Linked DNA regions of Canis lupus familiaris. The protein of the gene in region 6 interacts with the protein of the main gene of each other region in a pairwise test. Links are inferred from orthologs where the notes say so. Each region holds a gene or a part of one and is shown on either strand. Other genes may lie near its edges. The genes, in order: VASP, SLAIN1, EXOSC5, NIF3L1, RBFOX2, DMRTB1 and RBPMS.

What was found.
Region 1: the proteins of DMRTB1 (region 6) and VASP interact in a two-hybrid assay, tested with the Homo sapiens proteins (2 studies listed by BioGRID and IntAct). The two-hybrid records come from large-scale screens. The link is inferred for Canis lupus familiaris from reciprocal best matches to the Homo sapiens genes DMRTB1 and VASP.
Region 2: the proteins of DMRTB1 (region 6) and SLAIN1 interact in a two-hybrid assay, tested with the Homo sapiens proteins (2 studies listed by BioGRID). The link is inferred for Canis lupus familiaris from reciprocal best matches to the Homo sapiens genes DMRTB1 and SLAIN1.
Region 3: the proteins of DMRTB1 (region 6) and EXOSC5 interact in a two-hybrid assay, tested with the Homo sapiens proteins (2 studies listed by BioGRID). The link is inferred for Canis lupus familiaris from reciprocal best matches to the Homo sapiens genes DMRTB1 and EXOSC5.
Region 4: the proteins of DMRTB1 (region 6) and NIF3L1 interact in a two-hybrid assay, tested with the Homo sapiens proteins (2 studies listed by BioGRID and IntAct). The two-hybrid records come from large-scale screens. The link is inferred for Canis lupus familiaris from reciprocal best matches to the Homo sapiens genes DMRTB1 and NIF3L1.
Region 5: the proteins of DMRTB1 (region 6) and RBFOX2 interact in a two-hybrid assay, tested with the Homo sapiens proteins (3 studies listed by BioGRID). The link is inferred for Canis lupus familiaris from reciprocal best matches to the Homo sapiens genes DMRTB1 and RBFOX2.
Region 7: the proteins of DMRTB1 (region 6) and RBPMS interact in a two-hybrid assay, tested with the Homo sapiens proteins (2 studies listed by BioGRID). The link is inferred for Canis lupus familiaris from reciprocal best matches to the Homo sapiens genes DMRTB1 and RBPMS.

The regions. Positions count from the first base shown.
Region 1 is NC_049222.1:110,771,947-110,775,949, reverse strand, and holds the start of VASP (vasodilator-stimulated phosphoprotein), read left to right. Parts: upstream 1-1,203; 5' UTR 1,204-1,248; coding exon 1,249-1,253; intron 1,254-4,003. UniProt on the Homo sapiens protein: Ena/VASP proteins are actin-associated proteins involved in a range of processes dependent on cytoskeleton remodeling and cell polarity such as axon guidance, lamellipodial and filopodial dynamics, platelet activation and cell migration.
Region 2 is NC_049243.1:31,288,749-31,292,853, forward strand, and holds the start of SLAIN1 (SLAIN motif-containing protein 1), read left to right. Parts: upstream 1-1,305; 5' UTR 1,306-1,337; coding exon 1,338-1,951; intron 1,952-4,105. UniProt on the Homo sapiens protein: Microtubule plus-end tracking protein that might be involved in the regulation of cytoplasmic microtubule dynamics, microtubule organization and microtubule elongation.
Region 3 is NC_049222.1:113,387,512-113,391,011, forward strand, and holds part of EXOSC5 (exosome complex component RRP46), read left to right. Parts: intron 1-2,275; coding exon 2,276-2,389; intron 2,390-2,901; coding exon 2,902-3,023; intron 3,024-3,500. UniProt on the Homo sapiens protein: Non-catalytic component of the RNA exosome complex which has 3'->5' exoribonuclease activity and participates in a multitude of cellular RNA processing and degradation events.
Region 4 is NC_049258.1:9,940,186-9,944,253, reverse strand, and holds the start of NIF3L1 (NIF3-like protein 1), read right to left. Parts: upstream 2,801-4,068; 5' UTR 2,693-2,800; intron 2,687-2,692; exon of another isoform or gene 2,415-2,686; intron 2,396-2,414; exon of another isoform or gene 2,146-2,395; intron 2,033-2,145; exon of another isoform or gene 2,014-2,032; intron 1,323-2,013; exon of another isoform or gene 832-1,322; intron 736-831; 5' UTR 711-735; coding exon 275-710; intron 1-274. Other genes in the region: PPIL3 (peptidyl-prolyl cis-trans isomerase-like 3), read left to right, coding at 3,922-3,924. UniProt on the Homo sapiens protein: May function as a transcriptional corepressor through its interaction with COPS2, negatively regulating the expression of genes involved in neuronal differentiation.
Region 5 is NC_049231.1:29,472,120-29,475,619, forward strand, and holds part of RBFOX2 (RNA binding protein fox-1 homolog 2), read left to right. Parts: intron 1-2,377; coding exon 2,378-2,431; intron 2,432-2,550; coding exon 2,551-2,643; intron 2,644-3,500. UniProt on the Homo sapiens protein: RNA-binding protein that regulates alternative splicing events by binding to 5'-UGCAUGU-3' elements. Prevents binding of U2AF2 to the 3'-splice site.
Region 6 is NC_049226.1:55,949,047-55,951,900, reverse strand, and holds the end of DMRTB1 (doublesex- and mab-3-related transcription factor B1), read left to right. Parts: coding exon 1-39; intron 40-1,346; coding exon 1,347-1,531; 3' UTR 1,532-2,354; downstream 2,355-2,854.
Region 7 is NC_049237.1:34,777,312-34,781,270, forward strand, and holds the start of RBPMS (RNA-binding protein with multiple splicing), read right to left. Parts: upstream 2,801-3,959; 5' UTR 2,519-2,800; intron 2,421-2,518; 5' UTR 2,282-2,420; intron 1,195-2,281; 5' UTR 939-1,194; coding exon 873-938; intron 408-872; exon of another isoform or gene 393-407; coding exon of another isoform or gene 369-392; intron 1-368.

The DNA.
Region 1 (4,003 bases), on a different chromosome or scaffold from region 6:
TGGCGCTCTGCGGGAGGGGAGTGGCCACCAGTGGAGTCACATGGGGCGGGGCCTGCGGGACCCGCTGCGGAAGCTTGGGAGGGTGTTTGGGCCTCAGACCCAAGCTACTGCGTGGGGGAGGGGGTTCCTAGGAGCCAGCACCAGGTGGGTGGGTGCCCCTGCCTCCGCGCCCTCCTATTGCTGGATGATCCCGCCATCCTCTGCGGGCGAAACTGAGTCACGGCGGGGGTGCGTGGGGAGAGGTTCCAGGGGTTTTAACCACACAGGAACCTGGAGTCCCATCCGCACCCAGGGGCAGCGCCGCACCCTCACCCCTGCCCCCGCCCCCACCCCCACCCCCACCCCCAGGCAGTGAGTCAGCGGCCGGCCGCGCCCCCTCGGCCCACTTCCTCCTCACCTTCCTGGGGCGGGCGGGGGGCGGCGAGAGGGATGGGGCCCTCCCCGCCCACCCCCCCCTGTGCTGGGGAAAGGGGTTCATCCCTTAGTCACCTTTCATATATTAGCAGAGAAGAGAGACGCTGGGGGTAGCATTTAAGGTATCATTTAAGGGGGAAAATTTGAGAGAATCTATGCTTAACCAGAGGATCGTCTTCGCGCCCACCCCCCAAATTGAGCAGAACGTGAAGAAATGGAGAAGTCGTTGGGGAGGGTGAGCAGGAATTGTCCCCATTAAGATCCTCCTAAGAATTTCCATCGTAGGAGCGAATGAGCGATCAGGAAGGATCCCTTGCCCTCCACCAGACCTACCCCCTAATTTGGGGGTGACCCTCAGCGTGCATCCCCATTTCTCTAACGTTGGGGAAGAGGTAAATAGCGGAAGTGTAGGGTTCCGCGTTGCCCTTTTAAGCGCCCTTCACCCCCCCCACCGCCTAGAGGTGTCCGCGGCCCCTTTAAGGCGCAGGGCATTGTGGGTGCGGGGAGTGGAATTTTGGAACGAAATGTAGCGAAGAGAAGTACAGTAGTAAGAGTAACATTGTACCCGCCGCCGGCCGAGGGGGCGCGCCGGGGACGGGACGCCGCACCCCCTTTCTGCCGCAGGGACCCCCGATCAAACCTCCAGAGGGAGGAGGCGCCTGAGGACCCGCCCCGGCCCCGTCCACGTTCCCCCCCAGGAAGCCGGACTCTATGGGGCGGGACCCTGGGGGAGACTGAGCAGAACCTGGAGCCAGCCCCGAACCCCTGAACCTTGAGCCAGGGGCGCCCCGGGAGCACCCACCCGTGGGTGCGCCGCCCTCCCGCTGAGCAGCCATGAGGTGAGCCTCGAACTGCCTCCAAACCCTTCCGCGCTCCGCGCGGGCTCCCCGCCCCGCCTTTGTCCCCCTCCCCCAGCTGGAATTTGGGGACAGGGCACTGGGGGCCTCGGATTTGAGGCCGAGCCCCCTTGGACGAGTTCCAAATACTGACCGCTTCGCCATGACTCCTAAGGCTCGGGTGGTGCCTCAGAGGTTCTCTCGGAAGCCCTCAGATTTGGGGGCGCCCCGAGGACTCCCGAATTTCTTAAAGACTTTTTCAGAGAACCTCCAAGTTGCCAGATCCTGCCAGCATGGAGGCCAGAATTAAGGCAGGGCTCAGACTACCCCCCCAAAAATCTCAACTCGGGCTCCGGGAGGGATTGAGGGGACCGGGTTGGGGGTTCCTGGGACCTGGAAGAGAGATTCGGGACGTAGACCTTGGTTTGCCGGGTCTGCTTTTACGTGGCGCTGGAAAAAGCCTTCCCAAGTGGGACCTCGCTTCTTAACTTCGGGGGCACTTAACCCCTTAAATTTCGGGGGGCTCTCGTCCTCCGGTGGAGGTGAGTGCAGACGAACCCACGGACCCGGACAGCCTCGAGGGTCTGGTTGGGACTCCCCTCCCCCGCCGCTCCCCACCCACCTTCTGTTTAAAACAAGCGGTGCCTAGGACGGAGCTCCAGGGCTCGGCGCGGAGGGCGGCTCCCCGGCCCGGGGCCAGGAGGGCGGCCCCGCGCCCCCACCTGTGCGTCCTGGGGAGGGAGGGGGCGCGGCAGCTGCGGGAAGAGGGGCCTTTGTCTTCCTGACTCACCTGTCGAGACAGCTGGTGTTGGGGGGGCGGGCAAGGAGTGCAGTGGGCCGGCTGCTTTCCCCACCACGCGCCGCCCCTTGCTCTCACCACCGCCCCCCTACCCGGCCCTCCAGAGCCGTGGGGTGGGGGGGGGGGCGCTGTAAAAAGCTTCAAGGTCATAGCCCTCTCCCCCTGGGACCCAGGCTCCCAAGACAGTCCCAGACACCTTCCCAGGAATTTAATCCTGGGGTTGGGGGGCCCAGAGGACCCAGGGATTTTTGTCTTACCGGGTCGGACCTCAGAACTCCTGGGCTCACCTGAGGGCGGGGCCGGGGCGGGCTGGGAGACCGGAGTAGACCCTCCCCCACTCTCCCCTCCCCCTGGCCCCCCATAATCTCTCCCTTGGGGCCCGAGCCTGACAATACTATCTCCCTTCCTCCACTCTCTCAGGGACTTCCTGCCCCCAAAGCCCCCAGCTTGAGGGGGAGGCCCCCCGAGGAGGACTGGGGATTAACCCCCTGGTGCCCACATCCTCCCACTACCCCCACACGCCCCTGCCCTCTGACATCAAGAGTCGCATTGCCCTTTAGGACCATTAGAGACCCCCTCCGCCTGTGTTCCTTCTGATGTGAAAGTGTTGGAGCATTTTGGAGTGAGGGGGCACCCACGGACACCCACCCTCGAGGTCTCCCGCCTACCTACCCCCCATTATAGCCACATCCCTCCGAGGCCTGCCCCGGAGAGGGGGCATTTTGGGGGGAGCCAGGCTCTCTTCCCTCACCCTCTTCCCAGGGGACCCTCCTCTCCCACGGCTGCCCCCCCGCCCCGCCCCCCGCCCCCCCTCGCGTTTCCGGTCCCAGGCACCGTGGAAGGCGGATGGCGGATGTCCGAGTTAGTGCTGCCTCACTCACTGTGAGACCGTAAAAGGGCAGGAGCAGTGTCTGGGCCGGCCTCCCGCCCCCCCTCCCCCAGGCCCGGAGGCCTTCGCCCTCCCACAGGGTCCCCCTACTGTTGGCCGCGGCCAAAGCTCCCACCTCCTGGGGGGTGGGGGGGCGGTGGGCAGGGGTTGAACTGCTGGGCCTCCCACCGGAGGGTCACTCGCACCTCCCCAGGGGGTCTTCCCTGCTGATGGCCACGCCCAACTCGCTGCGCCCCCTCTTCCAGGACCTCTAGGATTCCAAAAGACCCCTGCCCCTGCATGAGGGCAGCCAGGGAAACTGAGGCTCGCCCTAGATCCCTCAGGCAGTGTTGAGGGAGGGGAGGGGACTGGGATCCTGCGACTTGACTTCTGTCTGCTTTGGCTGGGCGAAGAGAGGATGTTAAAATGGAAAGTTACAAGATATAGTTCTTTTTCTCCCAGTTTGACAAATATTTGTTAAGTGTCTGCTGTGTGCGAGACTCAGCTGGGATTCTGGGAAGGCTCAGAGAGGGGGCAGAGGTCTGAGAATCTCAGGGCAGAGGGCTGCAAGCGGTATTTAGGTCCATTTCTTTCCTCTTCCAGGAATGGTAATTATTATTACCTTACAAAGTTGTTGTTTTTTAAATAATAATAAGAGACCATCTGATCAAACATGTGCTCTGTGCCAGGCACTGTATTATTCTGACTGCCCCACCTCCATGGGTCAACTGAGACACAGAAAAATTAAGCAAATAACCTATTCAAGTCAGTTTGGAAGTAGGCAGCTCTAGATTTGAATTTAGGGCAGTCTCCAGACTACGATGCTATTACAGAAAAAGGAAAATAAAACGTTTTAATGGTATTAAAAAAAAAAAAAACAAGTAACATGTTTGCACTATGTGAACACTTAAGATAATGCAGATAAGCAAGAAGAATCTTTTACCTTTCTGTTCATTTATGGGAAACTGAGGCTTATAGGGAAGGAGCAGCTAGAGTGAACCCACACAAACCCAAAGCCCATAGATCTGGTTCTTTGTACAAGGTTGCTTCAAAGACTTGCAGTTTTGGAAGGGTTATAGTTGGTGT
Region 2 (4,105 bases), on a different chromosome or scaffold from region 6:
TCACAGAGATTGGTATGTAAAGTGCCCGAGCAGGAATTCTCACCAGATAGCATATCATCTGAGGATGAGAACCAGTTGTGCGGACTTTTCTCATAATAAAATCGCAGACTTCTCTCCGAGTGTGTCAAACACTCACAGTTCAAAGTCAATATTAATGGAATGAAACTGGATTCAATTCTTCTACCTAAAAGCCTCCCCCTGCCCCCCAGAGCAGATTTGCCAGTAGTTTCCAAAAGATGTAAGAAGCGCAGCTTGCAGGTGAGGTCAGGGATACTGGGATAGAGGTTTTGTTTTCCTCGGTTCCCTTCCACCCCCGTAAGTCAGTCTGACCTAATAGCTTGTAAATTATTAAAGAGATGGAGCACTATGCAATTTTACTCATGTTTCGCCTGTAATGATTTTTGCTTGTCCTGTTCACTGCGTGATGGTCAACTCTTAGAATCGGGTCTGGAGCAGTGAAGTGCTCCAAGGCCTTTTGTGTGATACGCGGTACGGAAAATGCTCTTGCTTTATCACGACCGGCACTGGTGGTAAAGGAATCATTTGAGTTCCTCCGCTTTAGGGTACACTGAGCACCACTGGGCTCTTCAGCAGCTGGCCTGTCTTAGAGGGACGTCTTCTTTCTCCCCGGCCTCCTGTCCCCCACCATTTTGCTTCTGTATTGCCAATTAGTGGATTAGTAGCACTGCCTCAAAGTCTTTCTGCTCCACGTTTTCACTTTTCAGCCCCGGGGTAACGTCCTCGGCCCTCGGGTTCTCCGCGGGCTTCGTGAGCCCGGGGCCAGTGGCTACGGCGGTTGGGCCGCAGCACGGCGCGGGCGCGGGGTGCGCGCCTCCAGGGCAGGCGCCTGCAGCGGGCTTCGGGGAACCCGGGCTCGCGGACCGCGCCGCGGGCGCTCGGCACAGCTGCGGCAGCGCCTCGGGCGGGAAAGCGCGGGCCGGGCCCCGCCAGGGCACCTGGGGGCAGGGCGGCAGGGGGCTCGCCTCCTCGCGCCGCAGGTCCCCGCCGGCCCCGCCCACCCGGCGTTCGCGCCCCGCCCCGCCCCGCCCCGCCCCGGGGCCGCGGCTAAAACCCGGAGCCGCCGCGCCGCCCGGGGGACCGGAGGGCGCTCTGAGCATGTGCAGAGCCGTTCGGCGGCGGCTGCCTCGGCCGGAGGCTGGGCCCCGGTGCTGATGCGAGCAGCCGGCTCGGCTCCTGCCCCAGCGTGGTCGGCGCCTCGGGCCGGGGCGGCAGGGAAGGAGCCGTAGCCTCCCCGCGGCCCGAGGAGCGGCGCGGCGGCGCGTCCCCCCCCCCCCCGCCCCCCACCGCCCGCGGCCGCGGCGCCCCCGGGGCCCACGATGATGGCGGAGCAGGTGAAATGCGCCTCGACAGGGGGCGGCTCCGGAGCGGGCTCCGGGCCGGTGGTGAACGCAGAGCTGGAGGTGAAGAAGCTGCAGGAGCTGGTGCGCAAGCTGGAGAAGCAGAACGAGCAGCTGCGGAGCCGGGCGGCGAGCGCGGCCGCCGCCCCGCACCTGCTGCTGCTGCCGCCGCCGCCGCCGCCCGCCGCGCCGCCCCCCGCCGGGGCCTGCAGCCCGTTGGGTCCCCGGAGCCCCCCGGCCGCCGCCGCCGCCGCCTCGGGGGGCCTGGGGCTCGGGCTGGCGCTGGGCGCCGGGGGCGGCTGCGGCGGCGGCGGCGGCTCCAGCCCCGCGTTCCCGGGCACCTTCTGCCTGCCCAGCCCGGCACCCTCCCTGCTCTGCAGCCTGGCACAGCCCCCCGAGGCGCCCTTCGTCTACTTCAAGCCGGCGGCGGGCTTCTTCGGCGCGGGCGGCGGCGGGCCGGAGCCGGGGGGCGCGGGGACGCCGCCGGGGGGAGCCCCCGCGCCGCCCTCGCCGCCCCCGACGCTGCTGGACGAGGTGGAGCCGCTGGACCTGGAGAGCGTGGCCGCCTGGCGGGACGAGGACGACTGCACCTGGTATTGCCGAGCTCCGCTCCCTCCCCCGGGGGCCCGGCCTCGGAGGCCCGGGGAGCGGGGTGGGCGTGGGCCGGGGCAGCGGGGGGGGGGGGGGGGCTCGCGGTCGCCCCCGGACGCGGTGGCCTGGCAGGTGCCCAGGTCCGCGAGGAGCCGGGGCCTTTCCCGAGGGCGAAACGTGTTTCTCGCAGCTCAGGCTGGCGCCGCCGGGGATGGGCCGGTCCCCTCCGTCTCCGCGGGCCCGCGCCCTGCTGCAGCGGCCCCCGGCGCCGTGGAGCAGTCACCGAAGAACCCGTGCCTTCTTTTTGTTACTCGGTCCAGCTTCCCGCCCGCCCCATCATCTGGGGGGAGGCACGGGGGATGGGGAGGGGTTGGCCTCCGTCTGCGAGGCCAACCTGGTCTTTCCTCCCCGGCGGACCTGGGCAGGGTCTGTGCGGCGGGGGGGTGCCCTCCCGTGGCTTCCCCCGCCGCTTCCCCAGCCGCCGCCTCGGAGATTCGTTCTTGCGGTTTGAGCTGTGCGGTCGCACGTCCTCGTCCGCTGCATTTTCCTTGATCGCCTCTCATTTCAAAGCCTGACTAGCTGTTTTGAGATGTGCTGCCCTCACTGGCTTTCCTGTCACTAATGGTGTCAAAGATGGGGGCAGCTTGAAGACACTTTACTTCGAAACCAAGGATCTTTCTTTAATTCTTTTTTTTTTAAATCGAACTGTTGATTGAAGAAAAGGGAGATTAGAGAAACTTTATTATAATTATAATCATTATTTTTTTAGAAACTAAGTTATCTAAAAACCTGTGGCTGGCAGCAGCATTTCACTGGAAATCTGGTTAGCTCTTCTCTCCATCAATGAGTGACTTTGAAGGGGAGGGTCCGGTTACCTTAGTGTTTTTACGCTACGTTCTCATGGAGTGAGTTCCTTTCGTGACCTACTTCTTTTGGTTGCTTCATTTGCTTTCCTCCATCTCCTAGGGGTAGTGGGACAGGGGAAGATGAGTAGAAGCCTCAGAAAGTGGAACTTTGATTCCCGCAGGGAAAATGCACAGCATTCACCTTTAAGTAGCTGTGGCAGGAAGAAGAGTTGGAGCCCTTCTTTTATCTCGGGTTCTTCCTGCTCCTGGAGGCTGGATTTCCCTCACTTTCTCTGTGGTCCTGTTGCATGATCTCACACGGAGGAATGGGAAATGGAGACTCTTACTGGTTTTCTGTTGAGACCTGTGGTGTTCCTATATACTTAGAGCTCCTGACTGCAAAGTACATTAATTGGTTTGAACTGCAGAATCCAAACGTATCTGGAGCATCTCCTCCTCCTCAGTACTCTCCCTGTTGGCAGGCAGCTGTGCTGGTAGCTCAAGTTGTAAAAACCAAAACAACTCCCCACTTTTGGGAGCTTTATAAGCCGTACTTTAGATATTACACCTTTGTTTTTCTGTGAAGCCCAGGCTGTATTGTAAACTCAGTTTCAGCCTGAACATGGCACTAGAAAATGCTCTCATGTTGGTCGTTCTTAGGTTATAATAACTCTAAGCCCATATGTTGCTTTCAAATTACGTTACATTGATTTAGTTCCCACTTGGCCTTTTCTGGAAATATGTACTTAAATGGTAGAAGGAAACTTGTTTGTGTTTTTGATGGGCATCAATCCTGTACGTTAAAAGTGTTAGCATTTTTAAACGTATTATGATATGCTTATAATTTTGGAAGTGTATTCAAATGGGGTAGTATATACATAGCTAATATAATAGTATTTTCTTCCATTGAATGGACTTCTCCCTATTGTCCAACTACTGCTAGAATTTTGATATGTAGGCTTTTTTTTTTGTAGTTTGTTTTTTGTCAAAATAGTATTGAAATAACTTTGGGGAAAAAAAATGACCTGCTCTGTGGGATTACTTTGTTAGCACTTCAGATGGTTTGAAGTGAATGTAAAGTATAGCAGGTTCTACTAATTTCACTCATCAGCTATTTAGGGGAGTACATAAATCAATGCCTTGACGCTTTATAGATGTTTCTACAGACAAGTGGCACATTGTTTTATGGCCTATCTTTTTCATTTGTTTGTTTGTTTGTTTTAATTTTTTAAATTTATTTATGATAGTCACAGAGAGAGAGAGAGAGAGAGAGAGAGGCAGAGACATAGGCAGAGGGAGAAGCAGGCTCCA
Region 3 (3,500 bases), on a different chromosome or scaffold from region 6:
TCCAGACCTGTCGGTGGACAGTCCGGACCTATGTCATCTGTGATGCTGTCAAGAGCTGTTTGGTGGAGTGGTGGGGTCAGGGAGGAGAAGAAGACAGCAAGTCAGACTTGTCTTTGAGAGCTTTGCTGGAAGAGGATCAGATAAATGGGGCAGGAGTTGAAGATGGATGTGGATCCAAAGAATATAGAATTCCTTGAATTGCTCCCGAAAATTGCTGGGGCCATGTCCCTGAGAAGATGAGAGGGAGGATCTCCTAGGTTCATGGGGGCCACAGGCAGCTCATCCAGAAAAGAATGAAGAGCAACGTGTGGATCTCGTCCTGTGTGGTTAAGTTCCCCTCTGAGGGCAGATTCTCCTGGAGCCAAGAGAATCCCTCAGCTCTGGTGCAGCTCCTTCTCCCCAACCCAGGAAACATGCCCTGACCCTGGGGACCTTCCCAGGCCCTCCTGGAGACTTTGCTCTTCTGCTAAAATCATATGCCTGGAGTTTCTTAGACTTCAGAAACACTGAGGAGGGTTAACGCCTTCCACGTTCTAAAACTCCCAAACTCTGGGACCCCTGGCAGACCCTGGAAAGTACGTCCCACCCGCCTTTGGCCTCCAAATCTCTGATGGGGTTGTTAAAAAGGCAGGGTCCCAGAATCCACCGCACACCTGCTAAGGCTGGCCCCTCTCCATCTGTAACCGCTGCAGAGATTCTGTTTGCAGTGTTTCGAAGCTGTGCTCAAGCGCTGTTTTTCCCACTGCAGACTGTGGGCCCAGCTGCACGTCAGAATGACCCGTGGGAGCTCTTATGCTCCCAGTGCCCATGCCCCACCCGGCAGCTGAATTAGGATCTCTGGGGGAGGGGGCTGGACGTCTTTTCAAGTGCCCCGGTGATTCTGAGCGTGCAGCCAGGGTTCAGGACCACTGCTGCGGTTGGCAGTACTTTTTAACTGGAATAGAGTAGGGGCGCTTGACGGACTCTGTCCAAGGAGCGTCCGACTCTCGATCCCAGGGCTGTGAGTTTGAGCCCCATGTAAAAATAAAATCAAAAAAGTAAATAAGTTGGGACGCCTGGGTGGCTCAGCAGTTGAGCATCTGCTTTCAGCTCAGGGTGTGACCCTGGAGTCCTGGGATCGAGTCCCACATCGGGCTCCCTGCATGGAGCCTGCTTCTCCCTCTGCCTGTGTCTCTGCTCCCCCCTCCCCCCGCCCCTGTGTGTCTCATGAATAAATAAATAAAATCTTTAATAAATAATAAATAAATAAAAAGTAAATAAAATTAAATGAACTAGAGTAGAGTAGAAAGCATTAGAGTGTCAGAGCAGTGATGGTAAGAGGCGTTTTATGAGGCCTTTGTTGCGTGTCCACACATGGAGATTTGCATGAACTTGGGGTGGTGCCAGAAAATACATTTTTTAATTGAGAGTTATGGCAAGAAAAGCTTCAACAGCCACTGGTGTAGTTCAGTCTCTTCATTTTGCAGATGGTAAAACTGAGGCCAAGAGAAGTGAGTACAATCAGCCAAGGTTACAGAGCTAGCAAGAAGCAGGCAGGACCAGAAGTCAGGGGTTTTGGGGGCTTTCTTTGTTTGGTTTTGGATTTTTTGAAGATTTATTTGACAGCAAGAGAGAGCGTGCATGCTTGCACAAGCAGGGGGAGTAGGAGAAGGAGAAGATCAGCCCACTTGGGGCTCGATCCCAGGATCATGACCTGAGCCAAAGGCAGATGCTCAACCGACTGAGCCACCAGGCACTCCCTGAAGCCAGGCTTTTGCTTCTCAGGTCTTACCTCCGCGGACCCCATTCGTGCCCACTCAGGACCACTCCTGGGTATTTCTCACTCTCGGGGGTCCCGATGACTGCAGAGTTTGGGGACGTGAGCCCGAGGGAAGAGAGCTAGGTTGGAGGAAGCTTTGTGAGGAGTTGAGACCAACTGCAGTAAGGAGGAGGAAGGTTAGCCCTCGGGAAGAACTTCCCGTTGAAGTTAAGAATAGCTAAAGTCAGTGGTGCGCTGGGCCATAGCTGCAGTGTTTGACGTGGATGACCTCGTTTAATCCTCACGACGCTACAAGGTTAGGTGCTGCCATCATCCCCATGTCCCAGATGAAGAAGCGTAGGCAGAGACGTGAGTGAAGCCAGTGCTCAAAGAACCACTACCAGCAAAAGGTGGGCCAGACCCGGGGCTGGCGCAGGGAAGGCCAGCCGCCAGCTCACTGCCCTGGTGCCCCCACCCTGACCCCTGCAGCCCCAGGAAGGCAAGGTGTGCATGAGACCTGCCCTGCTCTCTCCCCAGGGGACACGTCAGTCCTGGCGGGCGTGTACGGGCCAGCCGAGGTGAAAGTCAGCAAAGAGATCTTCAACAAGGCCACCCTGGAGGTGATCCTGAGGCCGAAGATCGGGCTGCCTGGTAATGGGCGGCAGGAGCTCCACCTTCTTCCCCTCCGCCGTCCCCACCCTCAGCTCTTTGCGCCTTTCCCCGGCTCTTGGCCTCCTGTCTGTCCCCCACCTCCTAGTCTGTCCTCCCTACTCCTCTTTCCTGGCTCCATCTCCCCTTCTTTCCACTAACCTGTTTTTCCACCCGTTTACTCTCCCCCTTACGCTGAGGCTGGGTTCAGCAGCCAGCTGAGAAGTGGGCAGCGGCAGGGGACAGAGGAACTCAGGGTTTTCCTCCCCCAAGAGGCTCCCTTGCTGGATGCTGGAGGGGGCAGGGGTGGGGCGGGGTGGGTCCGGTCAGGCCCTGCCTCCTTCCCACTGGGGGTCCTCTGTCATCCGTGCAGGGTCCTGCACCAGCCCTGGTGGAGATGGCAGGCCCTCTCCAGAGGGCTTGGGTGGGGCGTGTGGAGGAAGGTGAGCCAGATGGAAGGAAGGGAAGAGGCTGACAACCCCACCCCGCCCTGCCCCACCCCTGATTTTCCCCAGGCGTCGCGGAGAAGAGCCGGGAGCGACTGATCAGGAACACGTGTGAAGCAGTGGTATTGGGAACGCTGCACCCCCGCACCTCCATCACTGTGGTGCTGCAGGTCGTCAGTGATGCTGGCTCTGTATCCTTCTCCCCCCAGGCCGCCTCCTCCAGGAAGTCCTCCAGAATCTCCGTGGTGGCCTCCCTTGCTCTGTTAGCCAGGAGGCCTCCGAACACTTGACAGGCACCCTCTTATTGAAGAATAGCAAACCCACTTGAGTGCTCACCACGCGTCGGGCACTGGTCTGAGTGCCTTATACATGTTAACTCACTTCATCCTCACGGCACGACAGTTCGGTGCCACTATAATCCCCCATGGCCCAAATGGGGAAACTAAGGCACAGGAAGGTCAGCTTCTGTCTAATAATGCAGAGCGAGGATTTGAGCCCAAGCCATGTGCTCCCAGAGCCCGAGGCCCCGGGCAGATGGGAGTTCCTATGTTCCCATGTTTGAGGTGAGGAAACAGGCCCCGAGAGGGGAAGTCCCTTACCCAGGGTCACACAGCTGGAAGGCGGCAGGGGCAGAACTCAAGCCCAGGCCTGACTGCCTACAAAACCTG
Region 4 (4,068 bases), on a different chromosome or scaffold from region 6:
TCAATTTAACAAGCACTTCTCAAATTTCTGGGTGCTAGGCACGTTGTTCCATGAGTGAGGACTCACAGCAATGACGATTTCCTATGCTTTCCTTATTCATTAAGGATAAAAACTTATCAAATACAACTGCCAGATTTCACATTATTTTTAAATAGGTAAAAATAAAATAATGGTACACACATATAAAGCAGTTAACATTCTATTCAAGACACTTTAAAATTTCAAAGCATTTGTAGGGAAAATATTAAACATGAAAAAATAAAAGGCTTCTCACCAAGCCCTTTTGCCAACCAGCTGTTGACTCCTTGGGGTGCAGCATCATAGGCGGTGTGAGGAGAGTAAATACCAACTCTGTTTTCCAGAGCCCGGATCACCAGGCGCTCCTTCCAGGTTTTCCAGGTTATGTGTTTTAAGGGTCGAAAAATAGGTGGATGGTAGGAGAGAATGAGGTCCGCCTTTTTTTGCAGCGCCTCCTCCATCACTTCCTCAGTCAAGTCGTTGGTAAGGAAGAGTGTGTTTACAGTGTGTGGTGGGCTTGGTTCCACCAGTAAGCCAACATTGTCCCAACTCTCAGCAAGGGAGAGGGATGCAAAGTCATTCAAGGAGCAAAGGAGCGCCTTTAAATCCATGGAGGAATGGCAAGAATTGTAGATGAGGGAATGAACAAGCCGGACTGTTCTGGGAATGAGGCGTACACGAGACGACAACATACAGAAATCAGGTAACACTGAGTATCTGAAGCCAAAACACAGAAAATGGTACAGATACATACTTTAGGCCTGGACCCTTGAGGGAGCAAAGCACAGGAGCAAAAGAGCTGTAGTCACATACCCCTGGGTTCAAATGCAGAGTCGGCCACCTACCAGCACGTGGTATCTCAGTCATTTACCCTCTCTGAGGTTATGTTTTCATTTACAAAACGGGAGACGCTACAGCCTACATCAGAGGCTAACCACAGGAGCAAATGAATTAATACGTGTAAGTCACCTAACATGAGCTTGGTACATAATACACAAATGTTCATCCCCACTTTCTCCACCCCACACACACCTTGGTTCTTTTCTTCTCATCTTTGCTTTAATCATCCTCCTGCCTTCTCCAGTTCTCTAAATATTACCCTTCCTTCCAAGTCCTAAATAAAGCTTTTCTTGACAAACATTTCCAGTGTCTAGGCCCTATACTAAACTAAGAGTCAACTCCAGTTAAGAATCCATGTACAGGGGATGCCTGGGTGGCTCAGCGGTTGAGCATCTGCCTTTGGCTCAGGGCGTGATCCTGGAGACCCGGGATCAAGTCCCACGTCGGGGCCCCCGCATGGAGCCTGCTTCTCCCTCTGCCTGCGTCTCTGCCTCTCTCTCTGTGTCTCTCATAAAGTCTTAAAAAAAAAAAAAAGAATCCAGGTACAGGGACGCCCGGGTGGCTCAGCGGTTTGGCGCCTGCCTTCGGTCCAGGGTGTGATACTGGAGACCCAGGATCAAGTCCCACGACCGGCTCCCGCATGGAGCCTGCTTCTCTCTCTGCCTATCTCTCATGAATAAATAAATAAAAATCTTAAAAAAAAAAAAAAGAAAAAAAAAAGGAATTCACCCACTGTCCTACAAATAAAGAGAAAATTAAAAATCCAGGAATATTTATATTTTTGAAGAAAAGCATTCATAATATGCATAATAACTGGGATCCCTGGGTGGCGCAGCGGTTTGGCACCTGCCTTTGGCCCAGGGCGCGATCCTGGAGACCCGGGATCGAATCCCACATCGGGCTCCCGGTGCATGGAGCCTGCTTCTCCCTCTGCCTGTGTCTCTGCCTCCTCTCTCTCTCTGTGACTATCATAAATAAATAAAAATTAAAAAAAATATGCATAATAACTGACAAGGTATAGCACAGCCAACCGAAAATCTAATCAAATATTAATAACCTAATTTCAAAAAACTTTTTCAATAAATATGCTCAAATTCGTTGAAAAAAAAAAGTATGTTTTCAGCAAAAAAAATGTTTACTATGAGGTGTGCGCACTTATTCAGTGTCTGCTCTGAAGGGACGTGGGGCCTCCGAAACCCACTGGGGCCTGGGGTCGCGTGAGAGCTCAGGTCCTCATACCACTCTCCTCTCCGGATTCCAAGCACCGACGCTGCGCTCTGCACTCACCCAGGCTGGCGGGCGGGCAACTGAGGCCGCGGGGGCCAACGGCTAAATTTGAAAGAACCCTTGAAAATACCACCACCCTCCCACTTCACGGATCAGGAAGCAGCGAAGCGGCGTGGCTTGACGCCATGAACAACGGGGGGCGGCTTTGCCGGCGGGTGGGGGGGCGCCCACTCGGCAGCCAGCCCGACTCGCAGGGCCGCGGCTGTGTAACCAGGTACCCGACCCCTGTCGCTTCGCCCTCTCAAGAATGAGAAGAGGGCCCCGCTTACGTTGTGCTCGCGAGGTTTCGCGGGACGGCGGGGAACGAGGCCTAGCGTGGCACGCCCCCGCCCTACAGCCAGCCAGCGGCACCCTGTTGCACTGCGCCGGCTCTCACTTCCGTCCCACTTCAGGCCGCTTCCAGGGCAAGGCAGACGCCAGACGCGCCGGAAGCTCCCAGTCAGCACTCCTGCCCTCCCCGCCGGGGGCCCTAGGCTCCCCAGCCACACGCCACTTTCCGGCCCGCGTCTCCCCCCTCTGCCTCCTTTCCCAGAAACGCCCTCACAACCTCCACAGCGCGCAATGACGGCGGGGCGCCACGCGAGGCCCGCACTCGCCACTTCCGGTCCTGCGCAGGGCCTCCAGGCGTGGCCGGACGGGCTGAGGAGGAGCCGGGCGGAAGTGACCTCAAGCCGCTCGCCGGTGTTGCCCGCCTTAGTTCCGCTTTGCGTTTCGCGTGCTTGTAGGGTTATGAAGCGAGCCCCCTCTCCCTGTCAAAAGCGTACCAGGTGAGGGTAAATTCCATTGCCTTCGTAAGTTCTAGTCACTTTGGTTTGAAATAGGGAGCGGGAGGTAAAAGGCGAGCAGGTGAGGAGCGTTCTAACGGGCCCCGCGCTCGGCCTGCGGTAGCCCGAAGACCCTAATTTCGAAACGTGGGTAAATGCAAGGGCATCGTCTCGGTTGCCACAACAGGTGTGCTAACGGAAGTGGTCCGTCACATCCCCCATTCTCTCATTCACTTACTGAGAGAGACCCTTGCTAGGCTCTGTTCTGGTGCTTGGGCTGTTCCATCCAGTGAGCATTCTGGACGGGAGGGTAGTATTGGAACAGACTTCTTTAGAAAAATATATAGCGTATTATTGGTCAGTGCTATGGGAAAAGATAATCGGGCAGGTACTAAAGTGAAGGCAATTTTTTTTTTTTTTTTTTTTTTATGATAGTCACACACAGAGAGAGAAGCAGAGACACAGGCAGAGGGAGAAGCAGGCTCCATGCAGGGAGCCCGACGTGGGATTCGATCCCGGGTCTCCAGGATCGCGCCCTGGGCCAAAGGCAGGCGCCAAACCTCTGCGCCACCCAGGGCTCCCTGAAGGCAGTTTTAAGGAGAGTTATAAGGCCAATAGGAACTGACTTCTGAGCAGAGACTTGGACTCGAGGAAAATAAGCGGCCAGACGTCTGGGTGTAAGGGCTCCAGACAAAGAGAGCACCCAGCGCCTGGACCCCAAGGCGGAAATGTACGCGACTTGGAGGACTTGCAGGGAGTGAAGAAGAAGTGAACAGGGGAAGTAGGAGATCGATAGGTTCTCATCATTTCCATCACTAGACTTTTATTACTTGGGGGGTGCTGTTCCAGACTTTTTCTTTTAAATATGGGGTAGAAATGAGCATGTGTGAGTTAAGAGAGGAAAACGAACTTAATTTTCTCTTTTGGGAATAGAGACACGTTTTCTAACTTCTCTTGGTGAGACTGAGAAATTGAACAATAGTACTTCCTGAAACTCACATCAAGAAGAAAAATGGTAAGTTTGATTCAATTCTTGTTGTCTTTCATTATAGATAATTTTTAGAAATTCAGTCAAGGAAAATAAAACTGGTATGATGGCTAAACAAAACCCGAAGCAAAATTACTTTTAAATTCTTCAGTGGAAAAAAATATAAATAAA
Region 5 (3,500 bases), on a different chromosome or scaffold from region 6:
CTCTCTCTCTATCTCTCTATGTCTATCATAAATAAATAAATCTTAAAAAAAAAAAATAATAAAAAAAAAAAATAAAAGTTTGAATCTACTGCTTAGATAAGTATTGTATTTGCTGGTAATGTCCTAAAATCAAGTGTAAGAATCTTAGTATATTCCATGATGTCTCCAATAGATAGATTTAGCCCAGCTTCTCAAACAGATGGTACAAATCAGCATAATTTGCATTTATCAGCATAATTTACATTTTGCCTACCCATTTATCAATGGTCTATCTTGTGATACCACTGCCTCCCCCTTTACCTCTTGTTTTTTTTTTTTCAATGCCCATAACAAAAACAAGTTTCTGCAATTTTGATAATAACTCATGTAAACAAAATAGGAAGGAGAGGCAAAGTTACATTTCCTTTAGATCCAGGGAGAATGCTGTGGTAGAAAGAGTCACTGACTAGAATTGAGAAGACAGAAATTCTACTTCTAGATTTGACTCATTTTACTCTGTCAGTGGACCAATCTTTTTAACCTGATTCTGTTTTCATCTCTCTTAATTGGTGATCACAGAATTTTAGCACCTGAAGCCTCTATAGAAGTCATCAAAATCCAGCCCTCTCTTAGCTTATTATTTAGGAAATTAAGCCCAAAGAAGTATAGTACTTATTCATTGTCCCAGATGTGGTACCTATCTTACCTCTCCCCTTGGGTTTTGTGAAGGTCAAAATACATTGTAAATTTGTACAAAACCAAACATACAAAAAAAAAACTAAACGTACTCAAAGTATTATTGACAGCATACCATTACATACCATTATTAAAATATGTAATATACTTAAGGGAATGCTTAAGTAATGGTGCCATTTGCAGGAAGAAAAAAGTCATTTTTTAAAATATTATTCTAAATTAATACTCAAGCCTAACCAAGCCAAACTTGAGAGACCAACAGCTGCTTGTGGTTTAAAGCTTCTGAAAAGAGTGCGCTAGATGCCTTCTAGTGAAGTCTCAGCGATTTAGTTTACATTGGTTGGAATCACTTGATTTGTCTGACATTGTAGAACATTTGTGTTCTTACAACTCCAGTAACATTTGAACTGAGGTATTTGCCCAATTTTTATGTAAAATCATGTGTTCACCATCTATGAGCACATAAAATAATGAACGGGGGTTAGATTGGTTCAGGATGAATGAGTTTTCTCTTGAATACTGTCTCCAGTCTTTAAGAAAAATAATGGAGTATGTTTGCTTATTTGTGTAAAATTCAATAAAAGTCTATTGATTAAAGTTTTCATATGAAATTCTACTCCTTGGGGATCCCTGAGTGGCTCAGCGGTTTAGCGCCTGCCTTTGGGTCAGGGCATGATCCTCGAGTGCTGGGATCAAGTCCCGCGTCAGGCTCCCTCCATGGAGCCTGCTTCTCCTTCTGCCTGTGTCTCTGCCTTTCTCTATGTGTCTTTCATGAATAAATAAATAAAATCTTTAAAAAAAAAAAAGAAATTCTACTCCTTAACTATCAATGGGCAGTAGTACATTTTTCTCTTTTTAACGTCTGCTATATTTCTATAAATATGAAAAAGGGGGATGAAGAAATAAAGTTGACACCAAACCTAATGTTTGCAAGTACTTAAAGTTTATAAATGCTTAGGTTGGTACTCAACAGCAGTCTAGTATCCTTTAGCTAAAACAACTAATTAAGTATGTTTATTACCACTTAAAATCCCAAAAAATGCATGAAATTGGGGATGTACCTTGAATTTTATTACTGAGTGTCTCTTCTTGTTCACTTGGCTGAGGATAACTGCACCGAAATTCCATTGGTAAATCCCAAAGAAAGGGGATTTTCACTTACCTAGATTTCCATCAGTATGGTATAATTGAACAGAGTCAAAGATCAGCTCAAATTTAAATTCAGAATATACCTTTATAAAGCAGTGAGAGTAGTAAACAGTGTGAAGATGATGAATAAGAAAGTGCATCACAGTGTGGTGTACAATGACATATATTCTGCCTTTCTCATTTTTCTAAAAACAAAGAATTTTTTTTTCAAAGAATATGTTCTAAGCAGTTCTATGAAAGAGACGAAACCAGAGCCCAGGATTTACTTTTATTTCTTACATTTCTTTGTCCTTCTCTTTCCTCCCACCCAGTTTTTCTCCTCCCCATTTGCCCCTATACCTGCAACACCCACCCCCCCTTATTATCCCTTCACTGTGCTTGTTCTGCTTAAAGATGCTCAGGTGTGGAAGTGACCCATCAGCTGGCGTCTACAGAGAAGATAGTGTTGGGTGGAGCTTAAATGCAGGGATGTCTGGAGCCAGCTTTCACATGCCCTCATCACACCTTTTCCTCATGGAGTCTTAAATGCTCTCTGTCCTCTCTTCCATTGCAGGTTGGAAATTAAGCCCCGTAGTTGGAGCTGTATATGGCCCTGAGTTATATGCAGGTAGTATTTCATTAATTTTTCCATTTGGCCTATTGACCATGACAACATCTGTTGGTTTTCGATCTACTATTCCTTTGTAATCTTTTTGCATTTTTTTTAATTTTTTTAAATGCAATCAGCATCCAGCTTTCAAGCAGACGTGTCCCTAGGCAATGATGCAGCAGTGCCCCTATCAGGAAGAGGGGGTATTAACACTTACATTCCTTTAATCAGTAAGTAGCCTATGTTGGCCTGGCATGGATTTTGACTGTTGTGAGTAAACAGTGATGTGTCCTAGTCTTTTTCTTCTTCCCCAAGTATAATATATAACTGAGGAGGAGGCCTTCTCAAGAGAGTTAAATGCTGTCACAGTGTCCCATCCTGCTTAACCTGTGTAAGAATCTTTCTGACCAGATACTGAGATTGCCACGAAGCATAAATAGTTGGAAAAGGTCAAGGGGATTGAGGACATGTGTAGAACATTTTAGTCTGCACTTGATTTTAAAACCAAAGAAATAGATACTTGTGGAATATAATATGCATGTTCTCTGCAGGTCAGCTTTGGGCTTTTTAGTAGAGTATCATTTAGAAGCACCTCCAGCATTAATGATTATTCTCCCTCTGTTGATACCTCTGAAGTCATTCTGACCTGAGCCATTTTGCTCTAGCAAGGTATAATTAAAAAGAGTTCAGTGAACATGGAATAAATGTCTCTGTGTGCTTTCCAGAGGATAGCACATTTAAAATAGACCTTTAGAAACTTTCTGCCTCTCTGAAGGCCACAGGATTACAAGGGAGAAGTCGTTTTCCTCTCCCCTAACATTTCTGGATTAAAACATTTTAGATAAAAGAATAAAATGGACTAATGAAATATCTAAAGATTATTGTATGCCTTGGAGGTTAGCACCACATACAAACACAAAAGACTGCTCTTATGAAGAATAATTATTAAGTGCACATAACAACATGTGAAAATAAGATTAATAATTGGCCAGTTAAAGAATTAATATCAACAATTTAAACTGCCTGCAGAAATTAAAAGTCTTGTCTCTTACTACGGCAGTAGTCCTCAGAGCTTCTTGACCTCTTT
Region 6 (2,854 bases):
CTCTCACCATTCTGTCTGATACAGACAAGGAAACCACTGGTAAGAGGGCCCCAGGCTTTCAGCTTCTGGGGAGCCAGGAGGACTTCCTGGAGGAAGGGGGCCTAATCACAAAGTAGAGGTGGAGAGCAGAATTTAAAATGCATTGGGTCTGGGGATGAGCTCTTCAGTTATATCCCTCTTTTTATTCCATATGCAAGCATCCAAGAGGGGCTCCCCAGTCTCAGGTGAGAAAACCAATGGAACCCTGAGAGGTTCTCACATATGTAAATGGAAGATGGCAGCGCTTGGATCTCCACAGAATTCTGTCTGGCTCCGGAGCTCATGCTAATTCCCAATCCCCCCCACCCCCACCCCTTATCAGGGCCTGTGGGCAGAGATGTGAAGGATGGCATTCCTGTGGTGTGTTCAGGAGACCAGCTGTGCCAGGCTGCTCTGGCTCAGCTGGGGCTATTCTAGAGAGGGAAGCAGCAGATGCTGAGGCTGGGGCAGCAGCTGGAACTGGGTGGGGGTTGCTAGGGATAAGTCCTCGTGGAGAGAAACCGGCCAGGAGCCAGGGACCCTGTCCTTCATTGCTCTGCCACTGGCGCACTGGGTGACCTCAGGCCCTCCCACTCACTCGAGGCCTGTCTCCTCATCTGTAAAATGGGTCCTGTTAACAGGGTTATTGTGGTAGTCAATATTAGAGGTAAAAGTGCTTTAGGTTTTCTTACGAGGGTTCTTGCAGCTTTAAAGGTTCTAGGATTTTTTTTTCCCCTTTCAGTCCTTCCCTGAGGCTCCCTAGGAAAAGGAAGTGAGGCCTTCTGTACACACGTGCTGTGTTTGAGATGCCTAGATAGGCAGAGATGGTGTGTGGCTTGAAGCATGCTGGCCCCAGAGCCAGACAGTAGCTTTGTGACCCGCGGCAAGGTCATTCAGTCCTTGGAGCCTCCCCCCTCCCTCACCTTCTGCAGAAGTGGGCTTAACGGCCCCACCTCAGGAGGTGATTCTGAGGACCCATCTGAACCTGCACCCCAGGACGGCATTTGTGTTCATTCTCCCTGTTTCCTGTCATCCCCTGCTGACCTGACGTTGGGAGGGCAGATCTCATTCCCCAGAAGCGTGCAGAAGTTCAGAGCCTCGGGGTAGCTTGCTCCTGGCCACCCAGCTGGCGACAGGCAGAGCCAGAGTGTGAGCTGGAGTCTGTGTTGGGCTGGGGCTAGGCTGCCAGGGTCCGGACACCTGGCCCATGGAGGGCAAAGGCATTCTCCGCAGAGGCTGGGAACCCTGAGAATGCCTGACCAAAAGTTTGCATCTGAAAGTAGGTAATTCCCCTGTTTGTAAATCCAGCCCCTCTTTGTCCTTCACAGATGGCCAGGATGCAGGGGTACCAGAGGAGCCCGGGGTGCCTGAGGCGGAGGCGGGGGCCCCTGAGGCGGAGGACCCTGAAGCGGAGGCGGGGGCCCCTGAGGTGGAGGCAGAGGCGCCTGAGGCAGAGGCGGAGGTGCTGCCGGGTGAGCCCAGCCAGCTGCCTTCCAAGGAGCAGTCCAACTAGGCCCTGGCATGCTTGGGCCAGCGGGGTGGGGGTTGCGGGTGTTGCAGCAATGATGTTCTTAACGGGTTTGGGGATGTGTAGGGAGGAAGGGTAGTAGTAGACATAAAATGGCAGTTTAATTTCCATTTCAAGACAGGAGGGAGGAAGGTGATTTCTAAGGTTCTCTCTATCCAGAGACGTGGGATTGACCAGGAACATGGAGGATGGTTAGCAGGGGAGGGCCAGGGCTTTGAGGATTGGGGGGCTGGTGGAAGCTCACATTTAGGAATGAATTTAACTGAGTCTGGGTTGTGCTGCTGTTAGACTCACTCCCAGAAGTGGTCTTTGATTTCCTCGGGCCCGCTCCAGGACAGGAGGCACCATCTATTTCAGCCTTCTGCTTCCGCCTCTGCTTGGTCCCAGCTGGGGGCAGCACAAACACTGAGCCCCAAGCACATCCAGGTGGTTTGTGTGGGCAGCTGGGACCAGGTGCTGACAGCAGGTTCTACAGCGTCCTTCCCTGCTGCTCTATCTCTTGTGAGGGCTGCCTGGCCACTGCCTCTCGCCCCTTCTCCAAGGGGCTGCACCAAGCATTCTGACTGCTGGGGCTGCCTCCTCTCCTCTCCATAAAGTTTAAGCCACTATAGGCATCTTTTCTGGTTAAAAAAAATCTATTAAAGTTTGACTATTTGATATTTTTATAGTGATTGCCAACTTTAAAAAGTAGGCTGTTTGTAAGCACTGATGCAGTTCTCAGAAGAGAATGGTGCTTCTAAATCATCTATGTATCCATTTCTTCTCTGGGGACAGTTGACTGTTGAAATAAAATAAGCAGTGGAAATCATCGTGCAAGTTTCATTTTCTTTAAGTCTTGTGGAAGGTGGTTTTGGGGAGAGCGTCTGGGCCTGGCAAGTCCCTTCCTGGCTTACCTCCCCTTTCCCTGTTGCCAAGGGAGAGGGTTGGGCCAGGCTACTAGATTTCTGTCTGTCGTTGATATTCCCACCATTTTTCTTAAGCAGTGGAGACCTTTTGAGGACATTGCAGACACACAAGATGTAAAGATTTCTTTTAGTTTCCCTCACTCAGCTGTGGGGGTGGTCAGAAGTTGGGATCTCAACTCTATCTTAAAGGTGAAAGTAGGCATTCCTGGGGGGTGGGTGCAGAAAGAGTAAGGGACCTGGAGTGAAGGATTCTGGGTGAGACACTGTGTCCTGTCCTCTGTCCAGGGGCAGACTGGCACTCAAACAGGCCAGTCTGCATGCCACCTGGCTTGTAGGCAGGGGTGTCCCAGAATCCCCAGGACAAGCGGCAAGATGATCGCTGAGAAATGCTCTCTGTTCTCCC
Region 7 (3,959 bases), on a different chromosome or scaffold from region 6:
CAGCTATGGGAGAACTTAAAAAGCAGGCGAAACATGTACTGTTTCTTGGACTCCAGGTAACATACCTGCAGGAACAAAGCCACTTGAAAGAATACCACAAATATCCTAACTACAAAATTCTGAAACCGTCCGTTCAGGTGTTCCCTCCCACGGATAAATGGGGTTTCTACCCCAAGGAACGCTCCGCCGCCGCAACGTTTTTAACTTTGTTACGGACGCACCACATAAAATTCACGCTCAGGAGTCAAAGTGCTATTAAAACAGCCAAGATGATCTCTTGGCGAGTTGTAAACTCTCAAACTCTTTTATTCGGCTTCCCCCACCCCACCCCAGCCGCATCGCCCCTAAAATTTACAAACCCTAATCACCCAGATTCGAGGTCTTTGACTCATCAGAGAAGAATGCAGCTGATGAGTTATCTATTAATCCAGAATGCCTCAGCTGGAAAGAGATCGCACCGAGAACTTTTAACACTGAAAAGGGAGGGGGAGGGGGCAGGGAACTGAAGGTGTCTCCCCGCCGAGAACTTTCCCCGAGTTCCTTCCTTCCTCACGCCGCACGCACAAACACCCCCCACTCCCAGCCCCGGTCGCAGACTCGGTCCCGACCCTCTGGGTCCCAGGAACCGGAGGTCACCCGGGAGTCAGCTCTCGATTCCGCTTTTAAAATCCCACGCAGACAAAGCTGAGCATTATACTTAGCAAACTCCGAAAAGTCCTCAAAGTTACGCAACTTTAGAAACGCGCTCTGCGAAGAGACCCCCCCCGCCGCCCCCCCCCCGGCCCGGGGCCACAGGTCGCGGCGAGGGCCGTGCCCAGACCCCGGACTGCGGCGCCCAGGTCGTGCCCCCGCCGCAGCGAGCCCCCCGGTACCTCTTCCTCCTGAAGGTTGGCCTCGCTCGGGGTGTTCTCCTTCTCGGCTTTGCCGCCGTTGTTCATCTTCCCGGTCCTTCCTCGCCGGGCAGGGCTGGGGCGCGGGGCTGGGGCGAGGGCGCGCTCGCCCGCTTGTCCCTTCCCCGGGCGCCGGGGCTCCCTCGGGCGGGCGCCGCGGGCTGCGGGGGCTGGAGCCGGGGCAGCGGCGGCTCGGGCTCCGCGGCGAGGCGAGGCGAGGCGACCCAGGAAGTGCGCGGGAGACACGGGGCAGGGCGAGGCGCGGGCCGGCGGGGACGGAGACAATCGGGACCGGGAGGGAGACCTGGAGAGCGCGGGCGGGCGGGCGGGCGCGAGGGAAGGAAGGAAGGAAGGAAGAAAGGATGGGGCGCGGGCGCGCGTCCCAGGAGGGAGCCCAGAGAGTTGGGGATGTGGCCGCGTCGGGGCTGGGGGCGGCCGCTGCCCGAGCCTGGCGGGGGCCGGAGGGAGGGGGCGAGGGGTGCCCAGACCCGAGGAAGAGGAGGAGGAGGAGGAGGAGGAGGAGGAGGAGGTGCGGGGCGCGGCTGGGACGCTGGGACCCGGAGAGCCGCTGAGTGCGCGCTCCAGGCAGGCTCTGAGAAGTACGGGATCCAAGCAGCTCCCTTTCTCTCGCCCTCCTCCCTCCCCTCTCTCCTCCCCCTCCCCCTCCTCCTCCTCCTCCCTCCGCCCTCCCTAGACGTGGGCTGCCAGCTTCAGCCCGGAGGGACGGGACGCGGGACGCAGAAGCCCCCCTCGGGAGGAGGGGCCGCCCGCGGCCGGATGGCGCGCGCCGGGGAGGGGCGGGGGGCGGCGGGCGGAAGCGGCCGACCCCAGCCCCCCGACTCGGCGGGAGGTCGGAGGGCAGGGGCCGAGGCGGACGAGGGAGGGAGGCCAGGTCCTCCCGCTTCCCCGGCCCCCGGGGGCCCCCGGAGCTGGCGAGCTCGCGCGGCGGTGCGCGCCCGCTTGGAGAGGGGCTTCGGGGCGCCGGGCCGGGCCCGCGCGACGCCCGGGACGCGCCGTGGGCTACCGCCGTGGGGATCGCGCCCCCGTCGCTCAGCCTGCCCTGCCTCTGCAGCACCGGCTCAGACCTATTTCCTCCCTTCCTACTTGGCAGCTCGAAATGACAGGATGCGAGAGAACGAGCGAGGTCCGGGGGCAGCCGGCTCGGGGCCGGCGTTTCCAGGGCGCAGCTTCAAACCCACCTCCCACGCCGGGCCCTCCCAGGCTCTCAGCCCCGGCCTTCGCCCTCTGCTAGGCTTCGCGCCCCCCTCTGCTCAGGCCCCTCTCTCGGCCCTCAGCAGACCGTCCTGGAATTGCTTACCTGCCTGCCTCCCTCACCCTTCCGGGGGAGCCTCCCCACAACGCAACGCCAGCCTCACCGTGTCCTTGTTTACCTTGATAATCCCACGGCTAGTTAAATACGCTACCGGGTATACAGTAGGCACTCAATAAATACTTGTTGGCTAAGTGACTGTTGCTCACGGCGAGCCGAGCTGGAGGCCAACCCAGATGATCTTCGGAGGGTCAAAGCCCCTTAAGGAAGAAAAAGGGCTCAGCATTCTGGGAGGGGGGCACCCAGTACCTGTTTAAGCACCACGCGCCAGAGGACTGCCTGGGTTCCGTTTCCTCACCTGCGAAATGGGAGTAGTTATAGTTACCTCCCAGGGGGGTTGTAATTAGAGGAGATTATAGGTTGGTAGAGCTAGAGCACCCAGCACTCATTCCTGCCCGGTGTAAGTTTACAGAACAGGGAAACTAGCATTATTATTAAGGAAATTTCCATTTTCCCGGGGCCATAGAGAGCTTCTCCATTCCTGTATCATAAACACATAAATTTAAAAGGGCCTCTATCAGAAGATTCTCCCTCACTTCCCACGCCCAGGAATTCTCTCACACGACATGCTGTTCCTTTCCAGCACAGTACCAATCACAACTTCTATTTATTTGCTCGCTTCACTGTTTATCTTTCTCTGCTCTCCCCCCTCCCCGCCAGACATTCTTCACCCTGTACTGGTTTAAGTGCTGCTGGGGGTGGGGTGGAGGTGGGGGTGAAGATAAGGCTCCTGCTTCTAGGGAGTTTTAACTGGTGTTGTGGAGACGAGACACCCAAAACAACTCCATGGCCACATGATCAGCGATCCTGGTTCAAATAGCAGAAAGCAGAGAAAATACTTGTGTGACGAGCGTTGTGAAGAAAAACAGAGTGGTAATTCTTGCATTCACTTACTGGGGTTTTCTTGGGTTGGGGGTGGGGGAAGTCTGAAGCTTTTGATAAATAGGTTTAATTGCTGTCAGGATGTCATGTGCCTCTGTGGGGGGGGTGGGGGGAAAGCGTATCCTGGATGAAAATAAACCAAGAAACTGTTGAACTTGCAATGGAAGTTCAGAAGAGGCAAAGGCCACCACGATTAATCTGGAAATTTGGAGAGCCTTTCCAATCCCAGTCCCTCCCTCAATTACGTAAAGAACCACGAGGGGGCAATGTGTTCCTGAGCAATGGCTGCGTGGTGGTCTTGGGCCCCTGCGCCACCAATAAACACAGGCCCTTTGCCCTCCTGGGCCATTGCCAGGTACTGAATACACTCCACAGAAAGATATTGTCTTGCTGGAGCCTGGCAAAGGCCCAAGAAAAGTGACAGTTGATCTAGTCATTGATGATTCCAGTCAGACTCCACTTACAAGTCGGTGGAAGGTGCTGTATGATTCCAGGATGCTGCTGCTACCTCCGTCCAGGGAAATGTGGCCTAATTCCAAATGTAGAACCTGATTCTTTTGCCAGCACTTTGTCCATTGTTAAAAGTCAAAGACATCTGGCATAAAAAAAAAAAAATAAGGGCTAGAAGAAGATCTTTGTCTGATTTGATCGTTGTGTCCCCAATATCTAGACAGTGCCTAACACATAGTAGGCTCTCGGTGAATATTTTTGAATAAATGAACACAGTCTTATCAGAGATTGATTTTCAGCCTTGAATGACATCACATCTTTACAAAGCCCCTGCAGGAGGGACTGAATAAGTGGAAGTGTCTCAGCATAGGGAGCCACCACAAGGACACTAGGCAGATTCATGGTAG